Regions from separate parts of the Mus musculus genome. Here all the other regions are reported to be linked to region 4. The links are microRNA targets in miRTarBase. Many come from high-throughput screens and were not tested one by one. Region 4 holds a microRNA gene; each other region holds the end of a gene's coding sequence.

Region 1 (5,070 bases), not on the chromosome of region 4:
TAAACACCAGATATATTATGTAGGCTTGTTGAAGCCCCAGGCTTAGTCTATAATGGCAGTGTGTATGAGAAACAGATATTTTCTGAGAAATTAAGATGTATTTTGTGTGAAATGTGTAGCACAGGTCCTGACTTGGGAGGGTGCTCAGTAAACTGTTCTCATGGTCTACTTTGTTAACACCCAGTACTGCAAGCACCTGGCCCTGTCTCAGCCATTCAGCTTCACCCAGCAGGACATGCCCAAACTCCGTCGTCAGATCTACAAGGAACTGTGTCACTGCAAACTCACTGTGTGAGCCTCATACCCCAGACCCTTAGCCCATCAGTGGGCAGGGGAAAGGGAGACCCTTCCCAAGAAACTCTAGTTCCTTTTTGTTTCTCTACCCAATTCCCTTTGGATTTTCATATTTAAATGTTTGGTTTCTGTATTTTGTTTTTTTTTGCTGCGAGTATATTGATTTCTGATGGGAAGGGAATGGCCACATAAAAGCAAGCCTCTTTCTCCCTCTATAGGAGAATGTTGCCTTGTGGCCTAGGTGGAGCAGCCATTCCTCCTTCCATGTTCAGAGGGCAGGAAAACAGTGTGGGGGTGGTGGACGCGCAAAGGGATTACTGCCTGCCCGATCTTCAAACTTTTTTTTATATATATAAATATATATAAAAATGCCACGGTCCTGCTCTGGTCAATAAAGGATCCTTTGAAGATATGCAAGTGGTGGTCTTCCTTAAGGGGCCTCAAAATAGTGGCTGTGCTTTATCTCAGGTCTTCTTCCAGCTAACACTGTTAGCGATCCCCATTTCAGGGCTTGAGAGTCCAGCTTTCGATAGATGCCATCCCCGGGGAGCAGATGGCAGTAAATATGAATTAAGACTCGCTTATTCATGTAAGGAAGCCCAGGAGAAACTGGAAACATACTAAATGAACCAGTGATTGAGTGGGACAATCCTTGACAGCTTATCCCCCTATGCCCTTTAACCCAAAAGTGGGTTCCATCCTTTTTGTCTCCAGTCGGGGAAACTTACTATCCAATGAGATATCGCTACAATATTTTCCTGAACGGAAGAATAAATAAAACTTGTCCTGTAAAGAAAACCCAGGTAAAGGAAAGTGGCAGTCCAGACTGCCCGGAAGTTCCTGGAGGCTAAGGCCTCACCCCCGTCGCTTGATAGGACCTGCTGAGCCACATGACTAAGGCACGATCGCCTCCGCACGTGTAAAGGTGCTGGGTTCCAAGATGGCTGCCCCGCCGCGAGGCCCGACTTAAGTATGTCACTTCCGCACCAGCGAGAAAGGCGGACCCTTCAGCCAATGAGGCCATAGGGCGGGGCTAGGCCATGATGGGCTTTCAAACTACCCAATAGGGCGTCCGAACTAAAGCGCCTACAAAGTAACGTCACGTCGAGTTGCAGAGCGCCGGCAGGCGGGGCAGAGGTGGCCAAGCCAATGCGATGGCTGGGGCGGGGTCGGACGCTCTATAAGTTGTCGATAGGCGGGCACTCCGCCCTAGATTCTAAGGATCATGTCTGCGAGTCAGGATTCTCGGTAAGAAAGGCTTTTGCAAAAGGTTATGGCTACTTACCCCGTAGTTCCCTCCAAAGGGCCCGCCGTGGGGAAGTTGAGAGGCCCATCGCACCGAACCTACCAGGTTGCGGGAGAACCGAGCCGGGAGGAACCGTCCGGGGTTGGGGGGGTGGGGGAGATTCCCATGGCCGCCGCTGACCCCAGTGTGGTTACGGGGAAGGACGACCTGGCTAGGGCGGAGGGCGCGAGCTTCGTCACGAGGCCTCGGCCTGTGGGAACGCCGTACGCGAAGCTCGGATACTGAAAGGCAAGATGAGGTCGCGACATAACGTGGGAAAGAGGCGGCTGCGCGGCCCGGAGCCGGCTGGTCTGGCTGCCTCCCTGTGTCGGGCAGGGCGTGCGAGCGAGGGTTCCGGAGAGTTCTGGCGGTACCACTCGCGACAAGCAGGGGTGCCCCGGTCTTCAGCGAGTCCCTCCGTCGCGCTTGGAATGTGGGTCGGGGAAGAAGAAACCGGCCGATCAGGGCGCTGGCCTTCTTGACGGCCAGGAAAGAGCCTAACCCGGAGGAGCGGCCGCGTGAGGCACGGGGAACCCACCCGGCGCCTGGCGGGCGGGTCCATTTTGCCGCACAAGCCGGGCAATTGGCAAACTGCGGATGGGCAGGTCCACTTTCCTTCGGGGGTGAGCGGCCTGAGGTATGGGAGGGCGACGCCATTTCTCGACGGGGGCGGGCGGGTTGCGGATTGTTCCATGGCGGGGGAGACGCCGCCGAGTGGCGGAGCGAATGAGCACATGGCCGCTTGAGAGATTCCCCTCCCCCAGCCTGTTTCGCTTGTCTGTTGTGCAATCTCCCCCTTTGCGAGCGCGGCTGGGGCTCATTGTGCGCGAGGCCGCCACCGCCCGCGGCCTCCCACATCCGGGTACTGTGGAGGGGGGCCGGCCAGAGGGAGTGGGGGAGGGCGCGGGCGGCATGACGTGGGGGGAAGGGGATGGCCCACCCACGGAACTCGGAGGTGGAAGGCGGGACTTCCGGTGGCCTTGGTGTTCATCCAGGAGGTGCACGCGCTTTGATCCACCAGACCTAGAACATGTGGGCCTGGCTGCAAAGACCGCATCTCGGCGTTTTGTGTATGAGAGAGAGAGAGAGAGTGTGAATGTGTGTGTGAATGAAGTCCTTTACAGCCGCTTGATCTTAAAGGAGCGTCACTCTATGAAGTGCCTCTTGATGGTTCTTTGGGAGTACATGGGAGTTGGATCGGGAATGGGCTGGTTGCTTCCACTCTGGTCAAGGCATGAAGCAAAACTAGTGCTTTGAATCAACAGATCCAGAGACAATGGCCCCGACGGGATGGAGCCGGAAGGCGTCATCGAGGTAAGACCAGAACCTGCGGTTCCCACTTTATTTTGTCAGAACAGGCACTTCCTTAGCGTGACAGTGACCTTAGACATTTGGAGTGGTAGAACAGAGCAACCTGTAGGATGAGGTGACTCCAGCTTTAGTGTAAACACGTTACTCGAAGTGCCTAAGTTTTTTTTTTTCCTAATCCTGCAGAGTAACTGGAACGAGATTGTGGATAGCTTTGATGACATGAATCTCTCAGAGTCCCTCCTCCGTGGTATTTATGCCTATGGTTTTGAGAAGCCCTCTGCCATCCAGCAGCGAGCTATTCTTCCTTGTATCAAGGGTAAGACTTGTACTGGACTAGATTGGACTGGACAGAGTGGTAGGGAGTTGGTGGGCATAGCAACCGGGAGGAAACATCCTTCTTGGATCTTGGATTTTTAGTTTTGTTAGTACATAGGTCATGCCTTGGATGCATGGGTTTGTTTCCAATTAGAGGCTTTGTTTTTATTGCTCTACATCTAGTCTAACAAGCTGTTGTGAGTTCATAATATTTTGGCAAAAGTTTGTTTGCAAACCTCTACCATTTCATTTACAACCTTTTTTCTGTTACTGATGTCATGAAGTAAAGTTTCAAATATCCTCTGATCCCAAGGTGCACATCTAATTCTTGATCTGGTTGTAGGTTATGATGTGATTGCTCAAGCCCAGTCTGGGACTGGGAAAACAGCTACATTTGCCATATCAATTCTGCAGCAGATTGAATTAGATCTAAAGGCCACTCAGGCTTTGGTTCTGGCACCCACACGTGAATTGGCTCAGCAGGTGAGATTGGTGTGTTTCCTATATGACTGGTTTAAGAGAGAAGAGTACTAGTGGTGAGTGATACAGGTAGATTGAGCACTGCAAGTTCAAGGCCACCCTGGTCCATAGAGCTAGTTCCAGGACAGCCAGTACTATGACGTTTACCTTAAAAATAAGACAATTAGAAGAAGGTTGAGGACATTGTCTTAATGCCACTGGGTCTTGTTGACAGCTTTTAGTTCTATTGAGATTTGCTGACCTAATTACCACCAACTTTACCAGCAAAAAGAAAAAAGAAAATGCATCTTTTGAGGAAGGGGAAGAGGATTGGTAGAATCTATCTAGCTGGCTGGGCAGGTTTAGCTGTTTATGACACACCCCTGGCAATGGGCAAAGAGGCACCTTGTTTGTGGTGTTGTTCTTATATCAGTCAGGGGCAGAGCAAATGGCAGTCCTTTGTTCATCCTAGCTTGATGCCTGGCTTGGTGGCCAAAGCTGTTTCATGCCTAGGGCACATAAAATCCTGAAGCTAATTAAGAGGATTGACGTCTTAGAGCCCTGTAGATTTTGGGTTTTGTTTGCACATCAGCTGGGGATGTTGGCTCTAGTGGAACACTAAGTCTTGGTTCTGTGGCAGGGATGAAATAATCACACACATTGTTGGTATAAGGCTATGTTCATAATCCCAGCCTTTGGATTTGGAATGTGGTAGTAGGGTGGAGAGTGATTTCTAAGCCTTTGTAGAGCTGGCCTGGTGTTTTTTTACAAGGCTGCATGTAGGGGTGGGGAAATTACTGTGAACCTGTGTGGTGGGATTCAGCACTGCCATTTGTGGTTGTAGTGCTGGGATTGAGAGAGAATTACGTGGGTACCGCCCGAGTTAATGTAGATGTTCTTCTGCATTCAGATACAAAAGGTGGTTATGGCATTAGGAGACTACATGGGTGCCTCTTGTCATGCCTGCATTGGGGGCACCAATGTGCGTGCTGAGGTGCAGAAGCTGCAGATGGAAGCTCCCCATATCATCGTGGGTACCCCTGGCCGGGTGTTTGACATGCTTAACCGGAGATACCTGTGTGAGTACCATGTAACAGTTGGTGGGCATTCCCACATGTCATTTTCTTGGATGCAAGTTTTCCTTTAGTTTAGAACTGAGTTGCTCTGTGATGAACCCCATGCGTGTCATCTGAGCCTGGCTTCCCTGTTGTTACCTTAGCCCAGGTAGTGTTCTACTTACCAGGGCTTTTGCCTGGCTTATCAGGGAAGCTTTGGGCAAAGGATCAGTCCTTGTATTCTGAGAGCAGACATCTGCCCTTTGACTGCCCTCTTACCAAGAGATTTCCATGTATTTCACATTTGTCTGATCACTATGTGTTGGTGTTTTTTCTTCTGCCTTCTAGCCC
Region 2 (5,075 bases), not on the chromosome of region 4:
TGCACACAGAGACCGCACTGTGGTACCCTCGTTAAGGTGTTGCTCATGAAGTCCCTAATTACAAGGCAATGCCAAAGATTGCAGCAGCCACTCCACTCTCAGTGAAGTCCCAAGCATTCCCATGCTAAGCTGAGTCTGGGCTATAGCAAACTATGACATAGCAAGTCTCCAGAATGCGTACAAATCAATACTCTATTTGTATATGTTGGCCTAAAACTAAGCACTGGCCAATATCACTACCAAGGAGGAACACACTGCAGATTTATAAGTTATGGACTCCTTTGCTCTTCTGGCAGCAAGGCTACATATTCTTTTAATTTAAATATCTGCTAGTGACTATAAGTCAAAGAAAATGAGGTTGAGTATCTGAAAGCTTTTGGAGAAGTCAAAAGCTGCATTTGCCAACATTTGAAACCGAAAGTCAAACCACCTGGTACTCAGCCTTGCAGAGAGGTGAGAAAAGATTTGCAAGCCAGAATCTTGCTAAGTTTTATTCCTCCTTGAAGACTTAAGTTGGTGCTTAGTCTGGAGCCAAAATATGTATATAATGGCAAGAAGAATTAAAGAAGGCTAATGTCTATAGCAGGGAATGTAAATTAAGTTTCATGGTTTTACATCCAATAATATCTTCAATGTGTTTGATTTAAAGAATGCTCCATTTGAAACTACTGTTGTGCCTCAGTGGATAGAGTTTCTCGGTGTAGATAAAGTAGTTTCTCTCCTTTATGTTTGAAGCAGATGAGTCACGTCACCTTCCTCCTTGGGTAAATCCCAGTAAGGAAGTCAGAATTCTAGTGCTATAGTCGGGGATGGCTGTAATCAAAGTGCCAACTTGGCCTTCACTGCAGTGACAGACAGAAAGCTGTCTTGTGGCTGCCAATACAGGACTACAGCGTTCGTGTTCATAAATTTACAGTTCATTCTTCTCTGCTGAAGACATTAGCCTCCGTTTAGCTTTTGTTGTAACATATACAAAGTATAATAAACATCAATTGCAGACGGGTATTTCTGTTAGAAAAATACATATTAAACCTAAGGAACATGTAAATAGAGGCACTTGGATAAGCTAAGTGTTTGTAGTCATGAGCATCACCCACCGGTTTCTAGTGTCCAATTTTGGGGTTCCGTTCCTCTCTACTCGTAACACAAGTCGTGATGTGATTACAGATTTTAGGGGACAACATCGTCACAAATGAGGGTAGGCTGTGGGTGACAAGGGAACATTGAGACATCTCCTATCACTGTGCTGGAATGGGAAACTCAAGCTGGGAGGAGGATCCCAAAGTACCGAAAAGGGGAAACTGAACGAAAAGGCTTAGGGGACAGGAAAAAAAAATTAAACCTTTAACATTAAATCAGTCTACAAAACCATACAACGGGCAGTGACAATGACTAGGAAGGGCACGTTAAAAACATTTTGTCCATGTCTGTGTAAGATGACCAACGATGTGGCTTTGTCAGCTGACCCTCATCTCAGCTCTGCCTGGCTCATGGGCATCACTGTATCTTATCAGTAGTCGTACCCTTGAGAATACAGGTGCTGAGTCAAAGGAAACAGGCATTTCTATATTATTTGTGTGATGAGTGTGCACAGGACATGGGCTCACATTCATTCATGTAATGTGTTGTCATGTAAACCATCTGGGGGCAGAAGCATAGTAAGGAATGTGATATCTTGATTTGTTTTATAGAAGATAATGCAGAAATATTTTAAAAGGAAGTTGGAGCTTAAAGCCGTAAAAATAAGTCCTTATTCTCAAAAATCCTGGAGAATCCACATTGGTTTAATTCCTATTGCACCATGATTATTGGAAAAAAACATACTGATTTCTGAACATACAGTGAGCCACCTAACATAAGTGGCTGGTCCTTCATAGAGAAGTGTTATGTGTAACGGGGGATTAGAAGCCAAAGTGGGGTTCTGAGCTGGGTGGTTTCCCAAAAGGATACCGTTCTGAGTTGGATAAAGTGTTAATGTCACACAAATGTAAATGAAAAAACGCCACAGAGTCTCTCAGAATCCTACATTGCTTATTCTGTTAGGCATAAGGTGGTAACAGATGCTTGTAAATACGTTCTGTCTTTCAAAAGTGCTCAAATATACTTAATATGAGTGCGTGTGTTCTACTTAGACGTGATGACTAAATCGGTAACTAATTTTCATGTTGGTGAGAACAGAGATAGAAAAATATCATTTATGTGTCAATACTGTCGATGAGTCAGCTAAAAATGTGATTGGCATGCTGTGGTATCTTGAGATATTTCTTTTTCCTATCCCAGATGCATCATAAAAGCAGAAGAAGGAGAAGGAGAAGGAGAAGGAGAAGGAGGAGAAAGAAGGAGAAGGAGAAGAAGAAGAAGAAGAAGAAGAAGAAGAAGAAGGAGAAGGAGAAGGAGAAGGAGAAGGAGAAGGAGAAGGAGAAGGAGAAGGAGAAGGAGAAGGAGAAGGAGAAGGAGAAGAAGCAGAAGAAGCAGAAGAAGCAGAAGAAGCAGAAGAAGCAGAAGAAGCAGAAGAAGAAGAAGAAGAAGAAGAAGAAGAAGAAGAAGAAGAAGAAGAAGAAGAAGAAGAAGAAGAAAGAAGAAGGAGGAGGAGGAGGAGAAGGTGGTTAGCCAACTGTCTTCATACAACCCCAGTTTGGTGTATTTCGCTTCTGTCAGAGGAAGCATTGGGCCTGGCTTGGTGGACAGGTTAGGCAGTGGCTCTAAAATGGCCTCTTGAGTCTAGGCCATTCAGTACAGTACCCGGTAGAAGTCCAAGGCCAGAGGTGCTGTACCAGAGAGCAATGTTTTTTTGTTTTTTGTTTTTTTCATGAATAACATTCTTTACACACACACATTCCATCACCAGTCACGTCTTGCACACCAGGCTTGTCCCATGAGCTCAGGACAGTTTGGAGCACCAGGGGAAAAGCAAGTGTGTGTGAGAAGGGTGTGCCCTGGCAAACTTGCCATCAATGGACAGTTAGATACATAAAAAGTTCTCGCTCTTGATTCTTGGTGCTCGAAGATCACTAAGGAGTCTGTTCTCTGAGCAGCACAGAACAAGACGGGGCGGTTGACAAAACAGTTCTGTTACAAAGGAGTGTCAACCCTGAGCTTGGAATTAAGAAGTTAAAATCTGTGATTTATATATATATATAATATAGATATAAAAATAGATGATCATACTAAGACTAAAAAAGTGAAAAGAACCTCCGTGTCAATACTATATATAATGTTTTATCCTCTCTCTCTTTTTGTCTTGACTTGTTTTGTTGTGAGTTGTTATGTTAAGAGAATGCCCTTGTGATGCTGAGACCAATTGACACAAAGAGTCAGTAACAGAACCTCATGTGTGGAGCCAATTGTCATGTCAGTAAGAAAACTCGTATTTGGGGGAGGGTCCGGAACACAGGAGCTGAGACATCTGGTTCATGTCCGTCTGGAGAAAGAAGAGATTGTTACCACTGAAGATGACTTTTGAGTCAAGACCTAGGAGAGAGGAGACTAGATGGGGGCGGGGCATCTATGAAAAACTGAAGACAGTGTCAATTGGATAAAACGGACAGACGTTAGGAGACAGAAAATGCTGCCATCAGTGAGCGGTGGGATCAGGCAGTGGGAAGAGAGACATTGAGTTGTCATAAGATTACCGTTCATATAAAGACAGAGTCCTAAATTTACTATCAGTACCTTCAAATCAGTTTGGTTAGATTCCAAGACAACGGTGTATTTCCACTACATGAAAATGTTACGCTTTCTCCTCATAAGCGCTTTGTAAACCTCGCTTGTCACAGAAAAGCTCACTCCAGGAGTTGGCTGTCAGTGCCAAGCCTGATAGCATGAAAGTTCCTTTATTTTCTCTCCTTTGTTTGTTTCCTTGTTGAGAATGCAGTTGTCTTGGGGTTTGGCCTGATTTGAAACGGAAAATTATTTTTTCCTATTTTAAATGGGTTGTAAAAAAAAACAAAACCAAAACCCCCCTCACAACATGAAATTCTTTTAATTTTGCAGCATAAAAGCAAACGACGGTAAGAAAACAATCTCTTGGTACGAAAGGTTTGAGTAAGAATTCTCTCTGGAATAAACGAGGTCCCCACAGATAGCTGACGGAAAGAGAAGCAAGCCATCTGGCACCCGGTACTCTTTGGGAAAGCAAAAAGGGGAGGCAGACCTCAAGACTGCTCTCTTGTCATAGAAAACGGCTTGTTGTGTGGCATGGTCCATTGTTCAAGAGTGTAAGAAAAGAAGGGTGTTGGCCACAGAAGAGCTAAAACGCAGTTTCGTCTGACCAAAGCCCACGATTATCTGTAGAGTCTCTGCAGGGCCAAGACCATGCAGACCAGAGACCAGGAAATCAAGGAGGAGCTGAACTTCGAGGCCGAAGATTCCTCTTCTCTGCGGTCCGGGTCCACCGCCGGGGCCTCGGTGGTGACAAACTCGAACTCCGTGGGACACACATCATCCATGCAACCACTGCCGCTGCCTGAGCCACTGGATTCATCGCCTGGCGGGAGAAGATTGACAAGGAAAGTTAGAACAGTTAGCTGGGAATAAACGACAAACAGCACAACAGCTCTTGGGATGGTGTGGGAGGAACACTCCATCAAAGCATTGCTGGCCTGTCCCATAGATAGTTTTTTCACGGGCAGGTTGGTGATGGGCCAGAAACAGAACCGAGATACAGAATTCACTGGTATCTGCACAGAGTAAATTTGTAACGGGTGCCCTCTGAACCACATTAATATTAGATGCATCTGCTGTCCAGTATTTAAATGACTAAGAAACTGTGTTCTGGAGCTGGAGACATGGCCATTGCCACAGAACTCAGTTCATTCCCCAGGACCAACATCGGGGCAGTGCACATCTACCTGCAACTCTATTCTTGGAGATCTGGCACTCTCTTCTGGCCACTCCCAGCTCCCCCCCCCAGGTGTCCAGATTCACATACATTTATTCTCTCTCTCTCTCTCTCTCTCTCTCTCTCTCTCTCTCTCTCTCTCTCACACACACACACACACACACACTTTTATATATTTCTATCTTTAAAATGCAATTCTGTTCTTTGCTCCTTTGTACTTCAGTGTTGCTGTTTT
Region 3 (5,075 bases), not on the chromosome of region 4:
AGGTGTACATTTTCTGCATACATGCTGTCTTGGATCCAGAAGACCCCATCAGGGTTTGCAAACATCTCTTATTCACATGCACTGGTCTTGTCTGCTTCATGGTTGTAGACTGTCTGTAACATACCTGAGCTAAGGTGTTCACTTCTGTTCTACTTCCCTAGGAATCAAAAAGATCAGAATCCCTCATGGACATTCATCATAAGAAGTTAAAGAGTAAGGCTGCTGAAGATAAAAACAAGCACCAGGAGAGAATACCATTTGACCGTGATAAAGATCTCAAGGTTAATCGGTTTGATGAGGCTCAGAAAAAAGCCCTAATAAAGAAATCCAGAGAACTAAACACCCGGTTTTCACATGGCAAAGGCAACATGTTTTTATAAGTAAGTGTACTTCAGTGAGGTACACTTATACTGATCAGCCTGAACCCCTCAGAATATACCTTTGTCAATAGTAATTATGTGCACAAATACGTCTCCTTTTGTATAAAGTAGATTCAGGGTCTACATTTTTATAAATTGTGACTTTTGAAAAGTTGGGGGAGGGGAGATAGTGGGAAAAAAAAGCTTTGTCTTCACAATAGCCCAACAGAACATTGCTACTAGAAAAGGGTTTCAATGAAGAGAAAGGGCTCTTCACAGAGTGTGGTGTGCAGCTTGAGGGGTCATGTGGTCCATTAGGGGCATTTGTGTGTGTTTAATTGTTCACTTGCTTGTTGATTTTTGAGACGGGGTCTCACTGTGTAACCTTGGCTGGCCCAGAACTCACTGTGTATACTACTAGCAAGCTGGCCTCAAACTCCCAGAGACCCACCTGCCTCTGTCCCCAAGTGCTGGGATTAAAGGTGAGTGCCACCATACCGTTCTTTGAACAACATTACAGTTAGAAAAACATGCATTGCTCCAGAAGGCCTCTGTAAGTTGAGTGTCAGCTGGTACGCCTTAAATATCCATAATCCCATGGGTCCATCTATGAGAGTCTGGGATGTTGGTTAAGGAATTGTGTGAGAGCTGAGGATGCTTCTTAAGTTCCTCGTGATTTGTAGTATCATGAAATAGATATCGATATTCAGGTGTGATTTTAAAGGATAATATGAACTTTAAAATGTTTTTCAGCTTACTGCATTGTTACATAAGAGAGATTTCCCCGTGTGATGTTTGTCTGGCCACCATAATTTGTTAGAGAATGATCTTTAAAAACATATAAATTTGCCATGGTCTGTATCCTTTAAAGTACTATGGGGACAGACAATCTGTGTTCTTATATAGAATGGAATGATTTTGGGTGTTCTTGGCTTTTCTTCATGTAATTATTTTAAGAGTCCATCCCCACAATACTACAGCCCCTAATTTTTTATGGTGTCTTACATGTTTCCTTAGTTCTGGGTGAGACTGTATACTCTCTACCACAGTCTGGACATTTTTCTTCAAATATATTTAACCTGCCCTAGAATCATTGTGTCAGGCTGTCTTAGTTAGGGTTTTACCTCTGTGAACAGATACCATGACCGAGGCAACTCTTGTGAGGACATTTAATTAGGGCTGGCTTACAGGTTCAGAGGTTCAGTCCATTAGCATCAGGGTGGGAGCATGGCAGCATCTAGACAGGCATGGTGCAGGAGGAGCAGAGAGTTCAACATCTTCATCTGAAGGCTGCTAGCAGAATACTGTTAGGATGAGGGTCTTAAAACTCACACCCACAGTGACACACCTACTCCAACAGGCCACACCTTCTAATAGTGCCACTCTCTGGGCCAAGCACATACAAACCATCACACAGGCCCTTGCAAATCCATCAATTTTAAATTTCTTAGCTTGTCTTCCAAACTGAACCTAGTCTATACAGAGCATGGGGGTTTGTCCTTCCTGCTGTTGTATTTATTTAGTTCCTGTCAGGTTAATTGTTTTTATTGGTTTTAAGGTAAAGAAGCTGTTTGGATTATCTCAGGTTAAGGAAATATTGTGATTTTAACAGTAAATATTTGTAGGGGAGGCAATCTGAAGGACATTATACTCACCTATTCTCATTCATGTGAAGTCTAGGATGCTGTCTTCATGGTCTCACCAAAGCTGCCTGCATCTTGGAACGTCACATGTGATCATCTGATTCATATATGTATATAGCACTTTGTATCTGGTTTACTGGAATATTAATTCTGGATGGCTTTTAAAAATAACCAAATAATCACTGGAAATGGGGAATCTGTACTCGCAACCACCCAGTGGGAGTATTATATGGTTTAGTGCTGTAAGCAATGCCTCTTGAGCTGTTAAACAGACACTCCTAATGAGGGAGAGAAAAGCTAAATGCGAATTCTGGGCATTTCTAGCAGGTTTTTTTGTTCTGCCGACTCTGTATTCTAGTTTTCACAAAGCATAGAGTTGTAATGGGAAAATGTTTTGATTCCCAATTCATGTGAACTTTATAAAAATTAGGCAAACTGTTCAAATTACAATATAAAGTATTTCTTAATAGTGGCACAATTTTTATACTGGTATAAACAGCCTATTCAAGGACTGCTGCTTCTTAAAACCTGAATTATTTTGAGTAAATTAAACAGACTTCTTGTCCCCATAGATTTAGATAGATCTACCCTTTGGCTAAAGTGAATGGGTTTCTGCATATAAAACTTTATACAAGAGTATTAATTCTGACTAGCATGGTCATGAGTGCCTTTAATCCCAGCACTTGGAAGGCAGAGGCAGGCATATCTATGTAAGCTCAAGGCCAGCCTGCTCTACAGAGTGAATTCCAGGACATCCAGTGCTGTGTAGAGAGACCCTGTCTCAAAAATCCAAGAAAAAGGAGTATTTATTCTGTCCTTTTCATATTGTGATTATCCCCCCCCCCATGAGAGGAAAATGTTTTTTTAGCTATTAGAAAACCTAACATATTTTGTGAAATTTGTTACTTTTAAAAGTTATTATGTGTAAGTACACTGTAGCTGTCTTCAGACACTCCAGAAGAGGGTATCAGATTTCCTTACGGATGGTTGTGAGCCACAATGTGGTTGCTGGGATTTGAACTCAGGACCTTTGGAAGAGCAGTCGGTGTTCTTAACTGCTGAGCCATTTCTCCAGCCTCTTTTTAAAGTTAAAATACTAAGAAATCAATCAATTTAAAGGAGGTAGCTGTCGGCAGAGCGTGTACAGCTCTTGCAAATCACCTGACTCAGTTCCCAGCACCCACACCTGGTGTCCACACTCCCTGTAACTCCAGCTGCACGGGGTCTGACCCCTCTTGGGGTCCATGGTCATCTGTGCCCATGTACAAAATGACACTCAGACTCATAACTTTAAAAATAATCTTAAAAGTAAAAATACCACTTCTGGACACTCATTGGCCTTGCTTTCTCAGTGGAAGGGGTTAGGAATATCTGTACTATGCTTACTATTTCCTGTGACCTCAGATAAAGGACAGCCCACCAGATGTATGATTACCTCGCTGGCACCCTGGAGCCAGTGCTATTTTCTGTTACCCAGATGACAGTTGCAGTAAAGTATATGCCATTTCCAGGGAGGTTTGGCCACATGGAGACATAAATCTCAATTAATATTGACCATAAAAAAATGAAGCAGCTCTGTGTGCATTACAGAAAGATGTTCCTCATATCATCCCATCTTCCAAAGAGCAGAGGCCTGCTGGAGTCCACTGCCCTGACAGTCAGCATTTCCTAATAAAAGCAGCCCTGCAACCCCTGGCCATGTTTTACAGGGAGTGAAGAAGAAAGGAGTTACTAGCACCAGGTCAAACCCTGGTGTCTCACCACTAACGTTGGCCATCAATTCCCTGGATGGCCTTGTCCAGGTCCGACTGCTCAGCCTCAAACAGTATTCACATCACTGGTGAGCAGACGGTTGGTTTTAGTAGTAGGGGAAGATGAGGGACTAAAACAAGAGAGGACCTGGCCAACCCAGGATAAGACTTTCAGATTGGCCTCCACAGGGAAAACTGAGCTCTGCTTGTGGGGTGGGGGACATAGTCTACATGAGTTTTTTCATTTATTTAGCTTTAAGAACACATTCACTTATTCATTTATCCTTTGTTAGGTGTGAGATTGCTATGTGTATAGATCTGAGCCTTCCATGTTTCAGAGTCACATAAATCATTCGCTGTTACATGATACTATGGTTCTTATGCAGACTAATCATGTTGATACCATTGTGAAATACATGACAGTGGTGCAGAGCTCATAAGCTCGAGGCCTCGTCCGCTTCCACTTCTCCATGGTGTTATTGGTGCTTCTAGAAAAGCCTCTCCAGGGCATTATACCTGAGAGGAGGAGTCTACATCGAGGAAAGTGGCTCCAGATGAGAGACCACGAAGCACCACCTACCTGACTTCTGCTGCCATACTGAGGCTTCGTCTGGGCTGCAGATACAGAGCCTTGTGCTGCTGTAGAAGAGCTTTTTGTTTGGTTGTTGTTGTTTTGTTTACAGCTTTAAAAACCCACTCTAACGGGGCCCAGGCATGTGGGTGAGCGTGAAGTCCTGGCTCCATCCCCAGTTCTCAGCACCACCCAGAAATTGTTTAACTGTGACCATGGTGTGTACAAGGTTGAAAGGTTGTATACTCCTTGTAGCCGTTTCATTTAGGAAAGGCTGCTTTTAGAAAAGGATCATTTTGAAGTATAGTTTTATATATACATATATGAATAAAATGTCCTCTATATCTGAGAAGTTGGAATCTTCCTTTTTTGTTTTTCTTTGTTTTGATATTCTTAGCTTTCCTGAAGCAAGCAGTACTGGCAGCAAGAATATCCTGAACAGGTTTCTTCTGGTTAGCCAGTCATTGTGGACTATTATGCAGGTGATGGGAAGGAGAAAAAGAATTCGGGTGGGGGAGGAGGAGTGAAGATGCTGGTGGCACAGACCTGCAACCCCACTATTGAGCCTAAGGCAGGAGAATCACAGGCTAAAGGCCTGCATGGGCTGCACCATGTTTTCCAGTTCAGCTGCGATGAGCGAGAAGCACTATCATGGAACTGACTGCAGGGTCAAAAGCCTGTGCTGGGACCATGGAGTCCATCTTACCTTTGATTCCCGCCAGGGTTCTAATGAAAATTCCAGTGTTTCTTA
Region 4 (5,075 bases):
CAGAGCTCCCAGGTACTAAACCACCCACCAAAGAGTATACATGTAGGGACCCATGGCTCATATGTAGCAAAGGATGGTCTTGTCAGGCATCAATAGGGGAAGAATACCTTGGCCCTGAAAAGACTCAATGCCTCAGTATATGGGAATGTAAATGCAGGGAGGTGGATTTTTGATGGGTGGGTGGGAGAACACCCTCATAGAAACAGAGGGGTGGAGTATTGGAGAAGGGGTTACTGTGTGAAAAAAGGGGAATGGAGGATAACCAATAAGTTAAGAAAATAGCCTATGAAAATAAAAAAAAATAGAATAGAAAATCCACACATTAAAAGTTCCACATATACCATATTTGAGTGTCAATAACCACAGCATATTAACACAGTTTTGAAAATTGAGTTGAATGAAATATTTTTCAGATTTATGTGACACTGCAGCATTTCATACAAACTGAGTACAGGTGGAGTAGGGCATGGGCAGAATACTAAATTTAGTATTAAAATAACTCTTTGTGGAAGCATGAAAATATAATATAAACATTAAATTATCAAGGAACAGCCATGCACTGAGCATACAACAGATAATTTGGATAAGGAAACAAAGGCACATCACAATGGGTGAGCAGGCAGCAAAAAATTGTAAGATAGACAGTCAGGTGAAAAGGAAACTGAGAATCTCTGGCAAATAACTTAAAGCTAGGAAGAAGGAGCCAGAAATAGGAAGATTTCCAAAGTCACAGTGACTTTTTTTTATGTTTGTCAGTGTAGAATGAATATGTTTAAAACATTTTTTACCCTCTGCTTTTAATAGCCCTGCTTCCTTCCAGGAAGCCAGAGAGGAGCCAGTGAGGTATGAATCAGCACTGACGGAGAGCTCCAAGTATTCAGCAGGACTTGATGTCCATGTCTACATATGGGATTTCTCTCCTGATTGGATCTGATTCAATTCTCTATTTGAATACACATTCTCAATCAATCAGAAGCAAGGAGAGCAAATAAATTTGTCTGCCAGGGAAGATTTCATTAGTCTGGTTGCTGGCTATATTCCAGGACTTATCTGGTCCTGGATATAACCACTGCCAGACTGAATGGTGCTAAAGAGAAGGGAGAGTGCTTGTGTCACTGTCAGCAGACAGCGCCAGTGAAATCATCAAAGCCTGTGCTTGTTTATTTCAGAGCCTCAATGCACTGATTGCTTTGGTCGTTTTGTATTGTAGCTGTCGCTCTATGGGAGATTCGGAGAATCTCTATGGGAGATTTGGAGAATGACACACTTTTCTCAGTCATGCTGGAATATGTCTTCTGCAAAGAAGATACAAGATTCAATCTCAGCTTGTGACAGAGACTAAGAAAAATTTTCACATTTTCACAAACTTAGGTTAGACACTGTGAGAAGTGCTGTGGAAGCAAATGCCTGCTACATACCACCATGGAGTCTCTGAAAAATCTTGATGTAACTAATAGACACAGATACTACCTTACTCAGGAACTAAGCATCCTTAGGGCAGTGATTCTGGCAGCAGGTTTTTATTTATGGTATGAATATTCAACAATTGAAACATTGTTTATAGTGTTATTTTATATTTAATATACTAGAATCTTGAGCATGTATGTTCTTCCAAGCCACTTCATTACTAACTATATGTTCAAGAGAGTCATGGGTCCTTTAGGGAAATCAATATATCATCCATCTCCTGAAGATCTCCACCTTGGTATTATATACACTATAGAAATGAAATGAGCACAGAAATTTTCATGGGGAACTTGTACTAGTGACTCCTTTGAGACCTATATTTTTTTTCTGTTATTTCGAATCTGTCTTAAGAGTCCAGGTCACTGTTGTATATCCTTGACATTTCTGAAATGTATTACTTTTTTTTTCAGATAATCTTTACAGTAGTAAACGAATTACAATTGTATGTACATCAAAATAATCTCTGTCCTCTTCATGAGCACACTTTAATTTTTACTTCACTTTACATATGGTTTTGATTATCTACAGTCCATGAACAATGTTTTCAACTCTAGATTACACTTAATACTCTCTCTCTATATATATATAAGAGACAGTTGCCGGGTGGGGGAAAAAAGAGACAGTTGTTTATTTTGTTATTTTGTTATTGCTCTTGTCCTTTACTAGATTTTCTTGGCTGATATTCTTCCACATCAGTTCTTTGCTATATAACAGCTCTTTAGAATCCGGAACCCTTTACAGAAATCAATAGATCATGTCCAGATCATCTCCAGCTGGTTAAAACGCAATATAAAGGAAGAAATGGATACAGTAATTTTCATTGTGATCTTGTACTCGTAGATATCTTGAGTCCTAAGATTTCTAATTATTTTCATTCTGATTTTAGAGAGCAGGCCTCTGTTATATATTCTGGATATTCATGAACCAGTATTATTTTGAATAATATATTCCTGACAGTAGAAATCACATTAATCTCTATATGCATCAGAAAATGGCATGTCTTCTTTCAAACTACACATTATATTTTCCTACACACAATGTTTTGTTTTACATAATCACAGCATATAAATATTGTTTTCAACACTGAATTTCATTTAATATTGTTCAGATTTTTTGAGACACTTGAGCATTTCATGAAAATTGAGTATTTAGGAAGCATAGTATGGGCAGAATATTGAAGTTAGGATTCCAAATCCTCTCTGAGAATACACTATTAAACATTATTGTACTAGGAAAGGTTACAATCAGAACATAAAACAGAAGCAATAGGGGAAGAAGATACAGGCACATCACGATTATTCAGCAGGCAGCAAAATTTCAAGATAATAAACAGTCAGAAAGGCTTGAAAAAAGCAGGGGAACTCCCACAAAGAGCTTAAATTTAGGCAGATGAATCCAAAAATCAGAACATACTTAACGTTCCACTATCTTGTATTTCTGTTGGTTTGTGTAGAGAGAAGGTTTGTCTGCCATCCACTATCCATTTTTCTGCTTTCTTTGGGGAAACCAGGGTGATGTGCTTGAGCTATGAATCAGCAGCATGGATGGAGATCTCCAAGGTTACAGCAGCATTTGATGTTCATGCCTAGAAATGAGATCTCTCTCCTGATTGGGTCTGATATCATTCTCTATTTGAATACACATTCTCCATCAATCAGAAGCAAGGAGAGCAAATAAATTTGTCTGCAGGGGAAGATTTCATCAGTCAGGCTGCTGGCTATACACCAGGACTTATCTGGTCCTGGATATAACCACTGCCAGACTGAAAGGTGCTAAAGAGAAGGGAGAGTGTTGTTACTGTCAGCAGACAGAGCCAGTGGAAATCTTCAAAGCCTGTGCTTGTTTATTTCAGAGTCTCCATGCACTGTTTGCTATGGTCCTTGTTTTGTATAGTAGCTGTCAGTCTATGCAAAATTCAGATTTGGAGATTGACTTACTTTTCTCAGTCGTGCTAGGATATGTCTTCTGCAAAGAAGATACAAGATCCAAGCTTCAGCTTGTGTCAGAGACTAGGAATTTTTGGAAATTTTTATATTCTTAAATTAGCCACTGTGAAGACTGCTATGGCAGCAAATGTCCTCAACATGCCAACTTAGATTCTAAGTAAACTCAGATGTAACTAACCAGCAAACATACTACCATTCCTCGAATCCAAGCAGTATTGGGTCTGTGCTGCTAGTAGCATGTTACCTGTAATGGCCACAGACCTTCAACAAGACAACTATTGTTTGTTTTCTTATTATTCTTATCCTTTACTAGATTCTCTAGGATGTTTTTCTTCCAGGTCAATTCTTTGCTACCTCAGAGCTCGATAAAATCATAAGCCCTTTACAGAAATCAATAGATCATGTCCAGATCATCTCCAACTGGATAAAACATGACATACAGGAAGAAATGGATGCAGTATTTTTATTGTTATCTTGTACTTGTGGATAACTCGAGTCCTAAGTTTTCATGTTATTTTAATTCTGTGTTTAGAGGTCAGGTCTCTGTCATATAGTGTAGATATTCATGAAACTTTATTATTTTGATTTATACATTCATGACAATAAAAAAATCACATTAATCTGTACATGCATTAAAAATGCCATGGTATTTTTCAAAACACATATTTATATTTGTACACACAATGTTTTGTTTTGGATAATCAAAGCATTAAAACTTGTTTTCAACACTGAATTTCTATTAATATTTTTCAGGTTTTTGAAACACTCCAGTGTTTCTTGCAAACTGAATACTTGGGGAGCAGGGTATGGGCTGAATATTGAACGTTGTATTCCAAAACCTCTTTGAAGATACCCTATAAAACATTATTGTACTGGGAAAATCTAAAACATGAATATACAACAGAAGCAATTTCCAAGGGAGATGCAGGCACATCAATATTTAGCAGGCCACACAAAATTTGCAAGATAATAATCGCAGTCAGAAAGGCCTTAAAAGAAGCAGAAGAACCTTGGCAAAGAGCTTACATCTAAGCAGAAGCAGCCAGAAATCAGAACACCCTTAACATTCCACTAACTTGTATTTCTGTTGGTTGTGTAGAGAGAAGAATGTAAAACCAGCTTTTTTCTCCATCCATTTTCGGTTTTTCTAATTCCTTTTGAGAATCCATGGTGAAAGTGTTGAGGTATGAATCAGCAGGACTGATGGAGATCTCCAGTGTTGCAGCAGGATTGGATGCCCATGTCTACATATGAGATCTCTCTCCTGATTGGATCTGATTTCATTCTCCATTTGAATACACATTCTCCATCAATCAGAGGCAAAGAGAACAAATAAATTTGTCTGCAGGGGAAGATTTCATCAGTTAGGCTGCTGGCTATACTCCAGGACTTACCTTGTCCTGGATATAACCACTGCCAGACTGAAAGGTGCTAAAGAGAAGGGAGAGTGTTGTCACTGTCAGCAGACAGAGCCAGTGAAAATCTTCAAAGCCTGTGGTTGTTTATTTCAGAGCTTCCATGCACTGATTGCTTAGCTCTATGTTTCGTATAGTAGCTGTCAACCTATGGGAAATTCAGGTATCTGATTTGAAGTGTGACTTACTTTTCTCAGTCATGAACGTTTGTTTCTTCTGCAAAGAAGATACAATATTCAAGCTTCAG
Region 5 (5,075 bases), not on the chromosome of region 4:
TTGGTCAGATCACGTAATAAATATAAACGTGAGCAATATCCGTTTATTTTATATGCACATCTAGAATTAGGACTCCTTACCAGAGCAGTGGAAGGATCTGAGCTGTGCTTATGTGACGCTGAGCAGCAGCTGTTCTCTTTCAACATGTCTGCTCGGATGTTCATGTGAATAAAAACAGAGGAACTGTGGTTTGTTTTCAAATTCCAGACTTCCATCTCTCAAAACTTCTGTCCTTCCACTCCTGACCCCTCAGAATCACTTGTCACTTAGCCATCCACAAGAATGCTGCTTAGGTTTCTTTGTGGGGGGTTGTTTTGTTTTTTCGTGAGCCCCTTATAAAAATACCTGAAGGCATTTGACAGTAGCCGAGTTCCTGCTCCGAAGCACATGCAGCCCCATAGCCTTGGGAACACTTGCTCTGCTAGCCCTTCTGAATCACACTGGAACTGGGCTAACTGGCAGTAGCAAATTGTGTTCTGTTTGGCTGATTGGTGTCCCTGCCTGCCTTCATTGTCAGCTCACAGCTGAGAATCTAAGGACAGGAGACAATAATTAATATTCCACAGGGAATTCAGGCCTGAGGCTAAAGCTCCAAATCTCTTAACTACAGGAAGGAAGGAAGGAAGGAAGGAAGGAAGGAAGGAAGGAAGGAAGGAAGGAAGGAAGGAAGGAGCGAGCGAGCTGCTGCGTGAGCAGAACTGTCTAGACTCGAGTAGAGCTGAAGCCCCTTTCCTCGCCCTCACCTCTCTCTCCCTTGTGTCTGGGGATCTGGAGGATTGCTGGGCCCGTGAGTTATTAGGCATGATGTTTTCTTTTATTAGGTTGGAATGAAATACAGAAACCTAATCCTGAAGCCTGGGGGGTCCCTGGACGGCATGGACATGCTCCAGAATTTCTTGCAACGTGAGCCAAACCAGAAAGCATTCCTGATGAGTCGAGGCCTGAATGCTTCGTAAAGCAGGGACGCTGGGGGCTGTCCGTGGCTGGAGGACAAGCCAACACCGTCCGCCATGTGGTGCCGGCCTGGAGACTGAAGGCAGTTTTACAAAGGAAAACTTAGATTTCTATTCATTTGCTTTTGTTTCTTCATTTTAAAAATTATACAGATGTAAATGGAATTATAAATACTGTGACCTAAGAAAAGACCCACTAAAAATAATTGTACTATAAAGTTTCATAAAAACAGATTTGATTTCTTTTGATAAAAGTTTCATATGACTGTAATTTGATTTTTTTACTGTTATAATCCAGATAATATAATGTAAGAGGGCTAAGACATTTTAAATTGAATCACATACATGATATAATTTGATCTTTCTTATATCTTGAAGTTTTATACTTGAGATTCCTGGACTGATAAGTGAATCAGCATGTTCTCTCTGGTAAATATTTTCTCAGAGCCCTGTGTCAACCTTGACCCTCTGCCTCACAACTAAGTGACAGTTTGCCTGTGTGTGTCAAGGCCCGCAGGATACACTTCAATGCTGTTTGTCTTTTGTAGTGAGCTTTGTGATTCTCGGCTTCTGTCACACTTACTTACATAGCTCCACTTAGATTTGGGGTTCTTTCCCTTCTAAAATTTAATTTCTAAAGTTAATATTATTATTTAGATAATATTTTTAAATTTTGTTTCAACTGGCCTAGTATATAAGTTTTGTGTCTTGCACTAGAAGCTCAAATGTCAAGTCTTCGGTTGCAGTCACAGTGAGAGAAGCAGAGAACTTAGGCATCTTTTGGGTTCTCGACTTTTAGTATTTGCTATGTATTTGTTTCTGCTTGTTTTGCTTATATATATATATTTTTTTTATTTTGTTTGCTTGAGGCACCATCTCACCATGGAGCCAGATTCGCCTGGAACTCATGGTAATTCCCCTGCTTCGGCCTCCCAAGCCTTAGGGGCGCAGGTGTGAGCTGCCTCACTCAGCTCAGTTCTCACGTTTCTAATAAGACTCTGACCTTGCCTCCCTGAAAGTGGTAGGTCGGCCCTGTAGTCACAGTGTGTTGAAGTGCCAGGGGGAGAGATGACATCCACTGGAACTTAGCTTTGAAAACTCCAGAAAAGAGTGCGTTGGAGCAGAGCGTTTGCGAACAGCTGCTCCCAAGTGTTCCGTGGGCAACCGAGCTGTGGGAAAAGGCTGTCCAGCAGGCTGTTTCATATGGCGACTGTTAAGTGAACCTCCAGATCTCCAACTCCTTTTATTGGGACCTAAGTTTCCAGCTCAGAGTAGTGAGCTCACAGCATTATTTTAGCCTTGGGAGTCTACTCCAAACGGAAGCCAAGTAGGATAGAGAGGAGAAAATGTAAATGAGCTGTGATCGGACTTTCCACAGGGCTTTGAGTTGTTTCTCCACACATACCTGAGGAATGACTTTCCTGGCAGGAAACGAAATTAGAGCCTGTCTGTTCTTTAGACCCGGTGGACTTTGTGTTCAATAAAATATTATGTCGTGTAATAAAGTTATACAGAGTACCAAGAGCTGGTACACAGCAGGGAAGCCCTTTGTTTATGTAGTTTGATTTGATTTTTACAAGGCTGGGCATCAAACCTCCGGCTTCTTCACCCATGCTAGCAAGTGCTATGCTCTCCCAGCTGCTTTTATGGTGGTGGTAGAAACCTCTGGAAGCGTCTCACATCTGTCCCCACCCCCATTTTTGTTTCCTACTTTCAGACAAAAAAAAGGAGAAAAAGAAAGAAAAAAAAAAACTCTCTTCAGCTTTTTCTATTATTGCCCGGTTTGTCTCCTTCAAAAATAACTTCATCATAAATCTTACTTTACTTGGAAAAGCTAATAGCCAGTGTGTAAAAGACTGACTGCACACAATAAAGTGACATCATTGTCCGTGAGAATGAGCTCACAGTACTTTTGTCTTTTAATGTTAAAGGCACAGCGAATCAGCCGCGCAACCACCCCTCGTGTTGTGTTTATAGGTGGATGCCACCACCCTCTGCTTGGGCTTCTATTTGGTTGGATATTCCTGCATGTTCCATTTCCTCATAAGGAACAGGTTTGGTACCCCTGTTCCGCTGTGCTCGTCCTCTGTTCTCAAGCTTTCCACCGGCGATTTTCAGATACCCAGAGGCAGCTCTAAAGTGTTCTTCCCAAGGTACAATGTCTGCAGCGTTTGTCATCAGAGAAGCTGGATACCTAAGAAAGTTTTATAGAAAGTGCTCACTGTGCCCATCAAGGTACTTGGTGTCTCTGTTGACATACCTTTGTGCTTGAGAGATAGGACTGGATAACTTTGGCTAAGTGGATTCCTAGCTATTGAATAAAGAGGGGGAATAGCAAGTCCTTTGGCTAAAAGCAAGAAAATCCACTAAAAAATACTAACATATAAATAACAGCTGGAATAGTTATATATGAACATGTTATTAAAATTGAAAGATTCCTCTACTAAGACAAACATAAAACAAAATTAATCAAGTCCCATTGTCAGGTAGAGGCAAAACCTCACTGTGATGATGTGACTTGGCAACCAAAAGTCTTGGTGACCTTCTAGCCAAATATCAGTAGCAGTTCACTGTTTAGCACATATAGGGAGGGGCCTGTGGGAAGCACAAAGCCTTTGAAGAGGGAACTGGAAGATGTTTGTATCCAGATCGAAAGTCCCTCTGGATCCCAATATGGTTAGCTCCCATAAGGAATGGGCTACTATGACCCATCCTAAGAACTACATTTTCAGCAGGCTTGTATTAATTAGCATCACAAGTGTTTGAGAAACCAACAATATGGTGATGACTTTGGAAATAGCCCTCAAGAGGAAAGTTCGTCTGGAGAGTGAATTCTCAAGTGAATTCTCACTGTTTCAAATACTTACACACTATGGGAGAGCTGATGTCATGGCTAACGGTGTTGGAGCTTAAAGGTACAATTAGAAAATAGAAGACTTCAGTATGAGGAACAGCTCCTAACTGTTGACTGAGACGCTTTCTGCTGCTGTTTGTGAGGGTTCATAAAGAACCTGTGTCCTCCATGGGTGTTACAGACATTTCCTCCACAGGTAAGCTTTGAGGTTTCTTTCTGTAGTGGTCAGGGAGACATAACTTGGGTGACAGGTTCGTGTTCTGCATCTTAGGGCACTGAGAACCGGGGATATGGGTTACTGGATAAAATACCTGCTGGGCAAACGTGAACCCCTTCATCTACAGAAAAGCCAGGTATGGCAAGAGATGCTACTACTGTGCCAATCCCAGTGCTAGGGGGATAGCAAACAAGCCAGCTCCATGGCCAGCCTAGACAAATCCGCGAGTCCCAGTGTAGAGGACCAGTCTCAAAACATAAGAGGAAGATAACCAGTATCAGTCTCTGGCCTCTAACATGTACTTTGGCACACACAAATGCACATGAATGTGCACACACAAATAGAAAAGGCGTTGACATAGTGTAGCTTCCCTTATGCTACAACCAGACCGGTTATAGTTCGTGTCATAGTTATCTGTAGTTAGCCTGCATAACTTCAATTGGAGCTTCTCAGGCTTCCCTGGAATCTGATGTCATAGTTGACATCGATAGTCAAGTTGATTCAAGAACCCCTAGTAGATTAACCTCTAGTTGTGTCTACAAAAAAAATTTCCAGGATGGATTAAGAGAGGAAAGACCTATGTTCAGCAGCCTTGGAGTCCACGTGTAATAAAATGGAAGAGGGAAACCTGAAGAGCAGGCCTCTGCGCCCTGATGTCCACAGTGTGAGTCGCTCTGTCTCATCACACCCTCCCTTTCTCATTAGATTAGGTCTTCTGAAATCATTGCCCCTCCCCCCAACTCCTAATCCCTTCTTTGAACTTTCCTGCATTTGCTCACAGCAGTGAGAAAGTCTGTTGTTTGGAATGAAGGATGGAAGACTTAACAGTTGACTGTGGCCAAAATAGAGGCGAAAGCTCTTCAACACAAATAAAAGTTAACTTTTCTTCCCTTAGTGTGTTTCTACTCGCCCCATACTGACTCCACACGCAGCTGTCTCATGGCACATTGCACCCATTGGTCTAGCCCTCCTCTACACTGGGATCCTGGCTGCTCCTGCTCACGGCCCTCCAGTCTTCAGCTATCAGTGAAGAGCTAGCAAGTATTCGTTG
Region 6 (5,075 bases), not on the chromosome of region 4:
TAGAATAACCACTGGCAGACCTTATGGCTATAGGGAGTGGAAATACAAGCTGGAAGTTGACATGGATATTCAATACTTTTCCTCTCCCCTGTGTAGGAGTTAAAGGGAATGTCCAAGGAAATCTCTTCAAAGTGATTACGAAGGATGACACACACTATTATATCCAGGCCAGCAGCAAGGCTGAGCGAGCAGAATGGATTGAAGCTATCAAGAAGCTAACATGATCTAAAGGAGCGGGACCAGGGTTCTCATCATTGGATACAGATAAGACTTCCTGGAGAACTGGAGTACAAGATACTGGGCTGGGGATGTGGCTCAGTGGTGGAGGACTTGCCTGGCCATCCTGAGTTCAATTCTTGGTACTGTTAAAAAAACAAAACAACAACAAAAAAACCTTATCATTATAAATGTTGCATGGCTTTGGAGTAAGACTGCCCAAAGTGGCTCCTCAGATGACAGCGGGGATGCGATGATTTCCTTCTGCCTTCCTATGACCAACTTTAAAAGATGGACCAGCTGTTAGGTGGGCAGCATCTTGACTTTGCTCTTCAGGACAGAAATCTGTCTTTGGGGACAATAGTAGTACCTCTTTCTCTGTTGGAACACTAACTCCGGTTTTCTGTATTAAATACTCTAGTCTCAAGACTCTCTCTCAACTGATTTCAACAACTCAGTATCTCTGGGATTAATAAAGAATGACATCTGTCCCTGACTGTTATGGTTCTTGTAGTTAGTTCTCTGGTTCCCACAGGTTTCTAACCTGTGAGGCCCTATGTATTACGGAAGCTGGTTGTGGAGGAATCTCTGGTGATCTGTCACCAGGATGATGTTTCTCACTTTAAAGTGGGGATGCTGACAAACAGATGTCTGTTCAGAGGATACTGTTTGTCTTGTACTGTAAGACAGTAGGTATCACAAGTTGCAGATGTCATACTCTTGAAATCTGTCGCAGATATTTTTTAAAAGGCAGAAATACAGCTTTTTTTTTTTTTTTTATATAAAATGGACATTTAGAAAGATGTGGAGCCTCAGCTCTCCAAACGACAAGGATACAAATGACAAAAGTTAACTCAAGGTATAAAACTTTGGTCTAAAAATGAACATTAGCTCATCCCCAGTTGGGGGTTAAAGTGACAAGTCTGTATCATACAGTGTTTTTATAAATATTTTTTATTAAATGTATACAGTGATCTGGCAGTGATGGCCAGGATTCTTGCCAAGGACAATGGCTTGGACTTTAATAGATAAAATACATGACTTACATTTAAGGGGAGTGGATATTTCTAAAGTGTCTAAGTAAAAACTTCTCTTAAAATAGATTTCCTCTTAACGTCTGGAATATCTGACCCCGTGTTTGGAATCCCAAGAACTTGTCTGTTTCTCCCTTTACTCCTTACTTTGTAAGAGACTGCCTTTTCAAGCACCGTTTTTTTCATTTGGCATCTTTCCAGGTTTAATGTACCTAGAGTTACTTTTAGAATGTTGACAGGTGCTTATCGGAATTAAACTACATTTGGCTTGATAGCTTCCTGCTTCCCATAGCTATGGGTGAGAGGATTCTCAAGGGTTCTAAAACAGATGAGCACTGGCTTGAGACAAAGCAGTGGAGCTGGCAAGGTCTAGCTAGACCCAGCTTTTTTTCATGCCTACTCATTTTAATTGTTCTCGTTGTAAAAAAAAAAAAAAAAAAATGCCCAGGACACAAATGGGCTGGTGTACAATAGCTAAGTAGTGGCCCAAAGATCAGCACATCTCTAGAGCTCCAGTTAAGAACCTGAACATCTTGAAATACCCCCCCCCACACACAACCCCAATCAACCAAACAAAATAAACCCCCCAAAACTTGGAACATATTCATGAAAATTGGCTATGTTTGGTTATAAAACTAATTAAAAAAAGCAGTTTCAATGTTTCGTTTTAGTTAGTTTCAAATCATTGTTAGGAGTCATGAAGTCTATTTATTTTGTTGTATAAATTAAGGACCATATGACTGTAATCGATGGCAGAAGGAAAACAGAACTATTAGCATTTTTAATGAGAAGGCTTTGGTGGGAGAACCAAGATATGTAAGTTCTGTGTGTTGTTTACACTGTTCAGTCTCACAGCTGGGTGAGTCTGCCTGGCCTAATGTGTCTTAGTTTGTTCTTTTCATCACAGGATCACTGCAGTATTGATCTCCCAGGCTAGTCAGCATTTTACACAACTGTAGAACCTAGCAACAAAGCTCAGATAGATTAAAATCTATCACGGAGCCATAAGCTATTTCTAATTCTTTGAGACAGTGTTTCTCTGTGTAGCCTGGCTGATTTGGAACTTGCTTTGTAGACCCAGTCTTGAGACTGCTCTGATTTAAGGTGTGCACTACCATGGCTGGCTGGCTTAAATTTTTTTTTGGAGACAGGGTTTCTCTGTGTAACAGCGCTGGAACTTGCTTTGAAAACTAGGCTAGCCTCCCAAGTACTGGAATTAAAGATATATGCCACCAACCTGACTAAATTGTTCTCTTAAATATAAAACTTTTCAGTAAACAATCCCTAGGAAAAGGGCGCTTGCTATACTTGATAATACATTTTTTCTTCTGTGGTAATGGGGATTGATCCCAGGGCCTTGACTTGCTAGCTATGCACCAGGCCAACTTAGCTATATTTCTAAATCCTTAAAATATGTGTATTCTGTCTCTGAATTATCTGAGATTACAGTTACTATTGCAGCTTTGGTAACACCTTCATGTTCTTTTATAAACTTGAAAAAAAAATTGAGACAGTCTCACTATGCAGTCTTAGGTGACCTGTAACTTGGTATATATAGACCAGCTATGCCTTGAACTCAGAGATCCAACTGCCACTGTCTATGATGGGACTAAAGGCATGCACTACCATACCTGGCCCTAAACTTGCTTCTTGATGCATGACCAGTGGTTGTTCTAGACCATCAAAAACCAGATATTTATATTATGATTCATAATAGTAGCAAAATTAAAGTTATGAAGTGGTAACAAAAATAACTTTATGGTTGGGGGGTCACCTCAATGTGAAGACCTGTATCGACAGGTCCCAGCATTAGGAAGGTTGAGAACCACTGCTGTAGTCAGCCAATCTGGAGTACATTCAGAGTCCCTAAATACTAGCAACATGGTATGCAGACTAGCAAGCATGGCTCCTCGGAAATGGGTCACACAAGGTTAGACCAGTAGATTAAACAAAAGAACTTTCATAAATGGCATAAAACATCTCTCAACATTCTAATTTCCAATCCTTTTGATACAGAGTCTTGCAGTGGTTGTCCAGGCTGATCAGCAACTCTTGGCTCAAGGAATTTTCCCTCCTCAACTTTCCAAGTACTGGAGCCATCAGCATGTGCTTCTGTACCCAACTCTAGAACTCTTCCCATGATGTCTAGTCCTGGACTGACTTAGTTTCAAGTTTGCTTACAGATAATAAATAGTATACATATCCTAAGATAAGCATGCCAAACTAAATGAAGACTTTCTACATGTGATATTGTAGCTGTAACTTTGTGTTATTTGAAAAAATTATTTTGCACATTAACCTTTAAAGTAGCTAGTTTGAGAAGGTAAAAATGGGATTAAAAATTTTGTTAAATCACATCATGTGTGGTTTATATATATATAAAACCATGTATGTATATATACACACACACACACACATACACACAACTCAAGAATTAGGTAGCACCTACCAGATAGAGGAAACTGTCCCCTTCAGATGGGTGATGCTGCTCAAAATAACTCCATCAAAGCAGCAGCACATTAAAATACCCCTTGAATTATGAATTCAAGGTAAGTAGCTTAGAATAAACCAAAGGGACTGAGTGTGATGACTTCTCACACAAGTTATCACTGCTTTCAAGTAAGTTAACAGGCACATAAATCTTTAATTGATTTCAAGGTTTTTCTCTACCAGGGGTCAAATTCCTAATTTCTTCTCTAACATTCCTTTGGAGAGTCTGTTCCTGCATAAGTCATTTAGTTACTTGCCCATTGAGTTCTACCATATGAAGATAATTAGGATCTGAGCATTCAGATTGGCTTTAACTTGTGACAAGAAGGAAGAAGCCTACAATTAAATATCCCAGAAATTTATTTGATGTTTGCTTGAATACATTTTATATAGAAAGATTGGGATTGTTTGTGTTTGGAGTCCCTGGTAAATCTCTGAACCATAAGGGTGCCATTCCAGAGACATGAGAAATGGAAACTGTAGGCCCAATATTAGGACTGCTGTTTAAGATTTGTCTCTGGTCAAATCAAGCCACTCCCTTGAAAAATGCTTGAGGTGTTAGAGCCACTATGTGGAAACAGCTGACATGAAGGAGGGCATTTAGATTCTGGCTTGTTGAATACTTAAATACTTGGAAATAAAAATATTCAGCTTTGAAGTTTTCAATACTGGAAAACTCTCAAGTCTAGGGTTGACAGCCAGGAAGGGCTGCTTCGTACTCCTTAAATTGGACTGTTTGCCAAAACGTTAATCTTCAGCTTTGGCTTCCATTTCTTCTGCATCATCATCTCCATCCACTTCTGCATTTTCTCTCTCCAGCCGTTCCAGCTGCCTTGCAAGTTCAGTCTCATCTGTATCTGTGACCACTTTGGGCTGTGGAAGAGGCACAATTTCAAAATAAAGTAAACAGCAGAGTAGATTTGACTTCAATAGTATTACTGACCAATGTTTAAAATTTAACAACAAAAAATTCATTTCTAACAAAATTCAGTCATACCTGTGCTGACTCACCACTGAATAAGTTCTATCAGCTGAAAGTTAAGAAAATTCAAGACCATCCAAGGAAGCAGTATACACTACAGTGGAATAATACTTCCTGCCATTTTAATAAGCTCAACTGAAAACGAGTTCACTGATCACAGCAGAAGACCACCAAATGGCCTGTTGTTTTTTTGTTTTTTTTTAAAATGAATATTTTGGGCTCCAGATAAATTATTATCCTTCCTCAGAGATCGAAACATCTATACACACAGATATACAGCATATGGAAATTAGGTCTTGTTCATATTGAGAGAAAGACAGATTATTTTATGTTTGAAACAGGATTCCCTATGT

The links. The annotated mature microRNA mmu-miR-344d-3p reads GAUAUAACCACUGCCAGACUGA and lies in region 4 at 3,212-3,233, shown strand. An mRNA with a match to its seed (bases 2 to 7 or 8) in the 3' UTR can be bound and repressed. Matches are read on the target gene's strand: a 7mer-m8 pairs with bases 2 to 8, a 7mer-A1 pairs with bases 2 to 7 and ends in A, and an 8mer does both.
Region 1: miRTarBase lists Senp3 as a target of mmu-miR-344d-3p. Seed matches in the 3' UTR shown: 7mer-A1 at 639-645.
Region 2: miRTarBase lists Gpc6 as a target of mmu-miR-344d-3p. Seed matches in the 3' UTR shown: 7mer-A1 at 3,209-3,215, 7mer-A1 at 3,135-3,141 and 7mer-A1 at 542-548.
Region 3: the mRNA of Gpalpp1 is a reported target of mmu-miR-344d-3p. Seed matches in the 3' UTR shown: 7mer-A1 at 1,258-1,264 and 7mer-A1 at 4,634-4,640.
Region 5: miRTarBase lists Nln as a target of mmu-miR-344d-3p. Seed matches in the 3' UTR shown: 7mer-A1 at 1,786-1,792.
Region 6: miRTarBase lists Eif2s1 as a target of mmu-miR-344d-3p. Seed matches in the 3' UTR shown: 7mer-A1 at 3,626-3,632.

Annotation. Positions count from the first base shown.
Region 1 is chr11:69,668,751-69,673,820 of GRCm38, reverse strand. Senp3 (SUMO/sentrin specific peptidase 3) reads left to right here. Exons shown (of 11, transcript NM_030702.4): 11 at 185-711. The coding sequence ends at 295. Eif4a1 (eukaryotic translation initiation factor 4A1) reads left to right here and starts at 1,398. Exons shown (of 11, transcript NM_144958.4): 1 at 1,398-1,542; 2 at 2,845-2,893; 3 at 3,074-3,206; 4 at 3,549-3,688; 5 at 4,575-4,743; 6 at 5,068-5,070. The coding sequence starts at 1,520. It overlaps Gm25835 (a small nucleolar RNA gene), which reads left to right and starts at 4,826; the gene lies at 4,826-4,969. LOC115487892 (a small nucleolar RNA gene) reads left to right here and starts at 4,043; the gene lies at 4,043-4,186.
Region 2 is chr14:117,974,295-117,979,369 of GRCm38, reverse strand. Gpc6 (glypican 6) reads right to left here. Exons shown (of 9, transcript NM_011821.3): 9 at 1-4,486. The coding sequence ends at 4,284. Among named protein-coding and RNA genes, the nearest start is that of Mir6239, 23 kb to the right of the region's middle.
Region 3 is chr14:76,085,833-76,090,907 of GRCm38, reverse strand. It overlaps Gpalpp1 (GPALPP motifs containing 1), which reads left to right. Exons shown (of 8, transcript NM_026177.3): 8 at 162-4,676. The coding sequence ends at 380. Among named protein-coding and RNA genes, the nearest start is that of Gpalpp1, 22 kb to the left of the region's middle.
Region 4 is chr7:61,681,285-61,686,359 of GRCm38, reverse strand. It overlaps Mir344d-1 (microRNA 344d-1), which reads left to right and starts at 3,168; the gene lies at 3,168-3,236. Mir344d-2 (microRNA 344d-2) reads left to right here and starts at 1,009; the gene lies at 1,009-1,088.
Region 5 is chr13:104,020,827-104,025,901 of GRCm38, reverse strand. Nln (neurolysin (metallopeptidase M3 family)) reads left to right here. Exons shown (of 13, transcript NM_029447.2): 13 at 822-2,463. The coding sequence ends at 956. Among named protein-coding and RNA genes, the nearest start is that of Gm30967, 15 kb to the left of the region's middle.
Region 6 is chr12:78,884,329-78,889,403 of GRCm38, reverse strand. It overlaps Eif2s1 (eukaryotic translation initiation factor 2, subunit 1 alpha), which reads right to left. Exons shown (of 8, transcript NM_026114.3): 8 at 2,394-4,613. The coding sequence ends at 4,488. It overlaps Plek2 (pleckstrin 2), which reads left to right. Exons shown (of 9, transcript NM_013738.3): 9 at 97-707. The coding sequence ends at 224. Among named protein-coding and RNA genes, the nearest start is that of Plek2, 20 kb to the left of the region's middle.